Regions from separate parts of the Mus musculus genome. Here region 2 is reported to be linked to region 1. Evidence: microRNA targets listed by miRTarBase, many of them from high-throughput screens and not tested one by one. Region 1 holds a microRNA gene; the other region holds the end of a gene's coding sequence.
The links. The annotated mature microRNA mmu-miR-675-3p reads CUGUAUGCCCUAACCGCUCAGU and lies in region 1 at 2,165-2,186, opposite strand. An mRNA with a match to its seed (bases 2 to 7 or 8) in the 3' UTR can be bound and repressed. Matches are read on the target gene's strand: a 7mer-m8 pairs with bases 2 to 8, a 7mer-A1 pairs with bases 2 to 7 and ends in A, and an 8mer does both.

Region 1 (3,081 bases):
ATGGGCCTCTTTATGTGGCTGTGGTCTACGCAGCCTCATGTGTAGCTGCCTACCCATTACGAGCCTTACTGCAAGGAGTCAGATTTACTGTGCAGTCTACATTATGCCTCGGGAGTTGGGATTAGTGTGAGGACTCAGAGTCATCCAGGCAGGACCTTGGGAGCAGTGTAGAATCCAGGTTTCTGGCTGGGCCCACCATCTCTCATTGCTAAGGATGTCCTTCACCTCCCCAGCCTCTCTGTCTTGAGGGACCCTGCTCACAGCCCTGCCTCTGTCTCCGTATGGCACTCTGGCATTTTTTAATTGTGATGTCGACTGCTTTGCCCGTTCTTCAGGCACCATTTCATATTCATAGGCCCCTTCCATACCATAGCTTCTTGGCATCCCATGAGGCCTTTCGCTGTGTGCCATCCCATGAGCCTCCTATCCCAGTGCCACCCACCTTTTCATAAGCCATCTCCTATTCCCCATTCCATCCTAGAGGCCCTCCCCATTTCATTATCCCCTTCATCATGGATGGTGTACCCTATCCCTTTTATTCCCCTTCCCTCATTTCTTTCCCCTGCCCCCCCAACCTCCCCCCATGAGTCGCATTATATTGAAGTCCACGAGACCAATGACTGTAACTGTATTTATTGATGGACCCAGGACCTCTGGTGAGGCCCTGGTGAGGAGGGGCAAAGGATGAAGTAGGGCATGTTGAACACTTTATGATGGAACTGCTTCCAGACTAGGCGAGGGGAAGGCGAGGCCTCAAGCACACGGCCACACCCAGTTGCCCTCAGACGGAGATGGACGACAGGTGGGTACTGGGGCAGCATTGCCAAAGAGGTTTACACACTCGCTGTATACATTCATACGGAGAGACTCAAAGCTATCTCCGGGACTCCAAACCAGTGCAATCGACTTAGTGCAAATTCAAAAGGGGGTAAATGGGGAAACAGAGTCACGGGTGCTTTGAGTCTCTCAAGCAAGGAAGGAACAAAAGGAAAGAAACAGAATTACAGGAAAGGAGGAAGAAGAAAAAGACAGGAGGGAGATGATGAAGTCATCCCGGGGTAGAGGCTTGGCTCCAGGATGATGTGGGTGGTGGTCTCCCGGGTCAGGCAGAGTTGGCCATGAAGATGGATTCTCAGGGGTGGGTGGGTGCTATGAGTCTGCTCTTTCAAAATGTTGACACCATCTGTTCTTTCAGCTTCACCTGCAAAGAGAATAAAGACAAATGAGGTGGGGCGGGGGGTGGGGTGGGGAGTGGGCTTGGCAAGCTTCCAAAGGGTGCCCCAGCTCACCTTGGAGCAGATTCCTGAGGCAGGTAGTGTAGTGGTTCTGATTGCAGCATCTTCTTGATTCAGAACGAGACGGACTTAAAGAAGTCCCCGGATTCAAAGGCCCAGACATGAGCTGGGTAGCACCATTTCTATGGGTGGGAGAGAATGAGACCCCTGTCCTTGGCATCCCACCCTCTCCCACCCACATGGGGCAGAAGAGAACTCACCTTTCATCTTGAGGGTTCAAGGTAGGGGGAGGAGGATCCAGAGAGCAGCAGAGAAGTGTTAGCTCTTTGGGAAAAGTGAAAGAACAGACGGCTTCTACGACAAGGCGCCAGCCCATGGTGTTCTGCAAAGGACAGAATCCTGAGTGAGTGGGTGGACAATTAGGTGGTTGAGCGGACTAGCCCTGTGGCAGGGAGTATGCTCACCAAGAAGGCTGGATGACTGCCCTTCTGTCCTCTCCATCACACCGGACCATGTCATGTCTTTCTGTCACATTGACCACACCTGTCATCCTCGCCTTCAGTGACTGGCAGGCACATCCACCTCTGCTGGAGACCTGGCTATAGGGAGAAATGAAGACATGAGTTAATTGAACTTGCGTGGGAGGAGACTGGGTGACCACGAGCGGGACAGACACTTACCCTAGTCTCCAGTCCGAGCTCTTCGAGACACCGATCACTGCTCCGTCGCCGCCCGCAAGGCCCTCCTTGGCCACGGACTCTGGAGGCCAGTGCCTCCCTGGCTCACCACCCCAGCTACTCGCTCTACCTGCACCCAACCTCCCTCCCTAGAAACTCATTCATTCTGCCCCGCCTGCCTCGCCTCGTCTGGCTTCATCCTGTGCCCTTGACTCCCCTGGAAATGTTCTGTCTGTCATGCCAGACCCAGGGACTGAGCGGTTAGGGCATACAGTGTACCAAGTCCACTGTGGGCCCTTTCCGCACCAGTCCCTGGGCCGCAGTGCCTCATGGGAATGGTGTGTCTGCAGGCTGGACCCACTGCAGCCTCCTTGCTGTAAAATCCCTCTGGAGTCCGATACCTGCAGCCCCCACTCCCCTTCTGGTGACACCCTGCACTGCCCTTCTTTTCCATTCTCCAGTTATTGAGGCTCTGGCAAACTTGGGACTTTGCCAGAGCCACTCTTGAACCTTCTTCTAAGTGAATTACGGTGGGTGGGATGTTGTGGCGGCTGGGGACCCATCTGTGTCTTGTGACCCCATCTTGCCCTGTTTGACCCCAGCCTAGAATGCTTCTGTTCTTGCTGGATCCCATGGTCTCTGCCACTGTCTCCAAGGACTCCTATCACCTCCCTGGAGGCAGCGGCCTCAGTCTTTACTGGCAACCCTGCACCTCTTCTTTCTTCTCTCTAAGAGCTCTTTCCACCTGGGGTCGCCAATGGTCCCCCAGCCTCCTTCTGTCTCGGCTCCCCCCGAGACGATGTCTCCTTTGCTAACTATCCTGCCTTTCTATGTGCCATTCTGCTGCGAGGCCAGCCGCTTCTTCTCACCAGGCCCCCTCTCTAAACCTTCGTTTAGAAGGTCAGTGGAGCGAGGCCAAGAGAGAAGAAGGAGACTCACCTGCCCAGCAGACGGCGGTCCTCACCTGCCCACTGCTGCCAGCTATACCTTCACTGCCCAGGTCTGGGGTCGAACCCTTCCCAGCAGCTCCCCTTTATCCGACCAGCCGCCACGTCCTGTAACCAAAAGTAACCGGGATGAATGTCTGGCTCCCCATTCCTCTCCAACCCTAGCTCAGGCCCTTCAGCTTCACTCCGATGTTTTCCAGCCTTTGCGATGCCTTTGCTCTG
Region 2 (3,081 bases), not on the chromosome of region 1:
AACTGGTCCTCGCAGGTTAGAAGTGCAGACAGGCCCCGACGGAAGTCCCACTTCCACACGAGTAAACGATCAGACGATCTGGCTGGCTGAGGGCGGGCAAGAGAGGTTCTCACCGGTTCCAGGATCCGGTGGAATCGGCCCATTCGCTCCACCACCCAGGCCTCCTGCTGAGGCACAAACAGGATCACGGTGTTTCGGGGCAGTCCAGAGGAGGCGCGGCGCGGAACGCGGCCAGAAGCCTGCACCGAGCCCTGAAGGAAGACGAGAGTAGGCTGGGGACCAGGCGCGGATCCCTAAATCCCTCTCCCTAGATCTCGACACCCCCCCCAAGGGTCCCCGGAGAGTGATTCACGTGGGGACCATGACCTGTGACCACAGTCCTTCCCCCAAAGTTAGAAGCCCACTCCTTCCCAGCTCAAGACCCAGGTGATGTCGGTCCCGAGCCTCTGGTGAAGGTTGCCTCGCTCTCACCCTCAGCAAAAGGGCTCCAGTGCCCCGCGCCGCGCGCGCCAGCATTTCCCACAGCCTCGGCGACCTCCGGAACCAACGAGAGGTGGGGCAGAGCGGCCTCTTGTGAAGCCTGAACCCGAGCCCTTCCTTCAGCTGGTCCACTCCGCCCGACGTACTTCCGGCGTATTAGTCCACCCTCCCATCCCCACTAGTCGGCGTCCGTCAAATCGTTCCCTGGGAAACGTAGGCTTTGAAGAGAGAGCCCGAGAGTGCAAGTTTGTTCTGGTTCTCAAAAACTACGAAGCTCCTGGGCATTGTGGTAGAAATTGAGGCAATATTCCGTCCGCAAGTGGTACAGGAACACCGCCCACCAAATTCTGTACCCACAGCCGTGACTCAGTTTACCCTCCAGCTCGTGTATAACTGTCCTAATCTGTCACCATAACGACAATGGATTGGATTGGCGCTCAGTAGTTGCCCGTGGTTGCCATAGTGACATTCTTGGGTAGTCATGCTGTTGTGCCCAGCTCTCCCACTGGGGACTGACCCCATTCCCGTTGTCATGGTAACTAGGAGGCCTAACTTTACCTTAGGACTGGGCGGAGATTTCTCCCTTCCCTCTTTTCCCAAGGCATCAACAGCTCTTTTTCATATTTTTTTCTGAGCCAGAAACGGTCAGGCATGATCCCCTTACATACAGAGGGAAACAAAGAGCCTCAGCCTTTCATTTTTGTCTGAAACACATCAACCTTGCTCAGGTCTCTGACACTCTCTCAAATACAAGCTTTAAGAGGCCTGTATCCCCCCTCATCTCCTTCTTCTCATTCTCCTCCTCCTCCTTCATTTTACATATACAGACACTGAGGTTCTGATGGGGCTAAACTACAGAATCAGTGTAAGAATCCAGATTCTCAGAGTTTAGCCTCTGTAGCTTCACTTTACCCACCCAGCCCCCAGCACCTTATACAAAAAGGACTAAGACTATGGTCCAAGACTCAGCTCATCCCAGCCTAAGATCTCATGGGTTTGAGCTTGTTGCCAGAATTCCAGCTCCCTTTAGGCCCCACATCTCCATCCTCTTGAACACAAAAAAAAGTAGAGGTTAGTTCAAGTTTCCAAACAAGAATTTATTCTTTTTTTTTTCCTTAAAAAATGTACCAGGTACAATTTTTCCCATTTTTTTGTTTGTTTGTTTTGTTTTTCAAGTTTCAGCAAATGCTTGTTCCCCTCAGCCAAGCCCCAAGAGTTAAGGGTTGAGGCTGGGTCAGAGTCTTAAGTGAGGAGTGGAGTAACTGGGAACCATGTGACTGAATGAGGGGCACCCCTCATCCCAGCTGAGGTAGGTGGGTCAGAGTCTGGTCAGGTGAGAGGAGGTTCCCCAGTCCTTAGGCCTGACTCTGTCCCTGGACACCTTCCTCAGTCAGGACACCAAAGCAAGGAGACACAGGCAGGAGGAGAGGGACAAGTGAGTCTGAGCCCTAGGTAAGAGGTGGCTAAACCCCTGTGTTACACATACATGCACATTCTGTCTCTCTCTCACACACACACCCTACACAAACCCAAGTTTGTATGCACGCACACAGCTGTACACACACACACACACACACACACACACACCACACATACAGGCTTTCGAAGATGGGTTGAAGGGCAGGAAAGGGAAAAGGAATAGAGAAAGCCGAGGGAAGCTGAGTCTTTGGCTAAGTGACTCAGTTCCTCTGGAATAAACCCTCTGCCCTTAGCCAGAGGAGAGCAGCTCTCCCCTTGCCCCGACATCAGCTTCTTCAAGTCCTGAGGTTGGAGCAATATCTGAGAGTGGGGTGATGCCAATTATCAGGTTTGGGAGGTCACCAAGGCAATCCAATTTGAATAAATTATAAATTAAAAATAAATAAAATAATAAGTGGCCCCTGCCCAGGACAGGGAGGCAACGCTGGCATTACTTGCCTGGGAACTTGGGACAATCTCAGGGTAGCTCTGGTTCCTCCCTAACTACCTAAGCTGGCCTGGGAAACCCAAGGGAGGGGACAGGCACATGAAGTACCCAGAGCAGACAGGGTATGGAAGGACCGAAGCTTTAAACACCCAAATAGTCAATTTGGGCGTGAGCGGGATGAGGACTTTAATTCAAGCCTGAAGGGGCTCTCGCCATTTCTCCACAGTTTACCCTGTCCAGGATGGTAGGACAGGCAGGCTTTGGGCCCACCTAGGTTCAGGATGCTTGCGATCAGGGCAAAGGTGAATAACGTGGATTATGGGGGGCCTCAGTCACAGCCTGAAGTTCATAGGGGAGCCCCGTGTCCAGCTCCAGGCTCCGGCGGGAAAAAAGCAGGCGGATATCTCCATGCAGGCTTAAGCGGCCTGAGCGAGAGCTCCGGAACCTGAGGGGAAGACAGTGTGAGCACGTCAGCATCCGGATGATGGAGAAGAAAGGGGAGATTGTTGAGGGCAGAGGACAGATGGCTACCCGAGCTTCTCCAGCTCTCCCCGGGTCCTGGGCTTACCTGAGGTGCAGCAAGTAGCAGAGGAGGCGGTGGGTGGGGCTAGCATTTCCCTCCTCACCCACAGGCACCAAGAAGAGGCGATGGCGCAGGAAGGTCATGTGGGCAGCAGGCATGTCCGAGAAGTCAA

Region 2: miRTarBase lists Fam214b as a target of mmu-miR-675-3p. Seed matches in the 3' UTR shown: 8mer at 2,016-2,023.

Annotation. Positions count from the first base shown.
Region 1 is chr7:142,574,914-142,577,994 of GRCm38, forward strand. Mir675 (microRNA 675) reads right to left here and starts at 2,234; the gene lies at 2,151-2,234. It overlaps H19 (H19, imprinted maternally expressed transcript), which reads right to left. Exons shown (of 5, transcript NR_130974.1): 1 at 1,916-3,081; 2 at 1,700-1,830; 3 at 1,496-1,617; 4 at 1,290-1,417; 5 at 617-1,201.
Region 2 is chr4:43,030,858-43,033,938 of GRCm38, forward strand. It overlaps Fam214b (family with sequence similarity 214, member B), which reads right to left. Exons shown (of 9, transcript NM_001253353.1): 8 at 2,955-3,081; 9 at 1,557-2,831. The coding sequence ends at 2,678. Stoml2 (stomatin (Epb7.2)-like 2) reads right to left here and starts at 527. Exons shown (of 10, transcript NM_023231.2): 1 at 472-527; 2 at 114-251. The coding sequence starts at 516.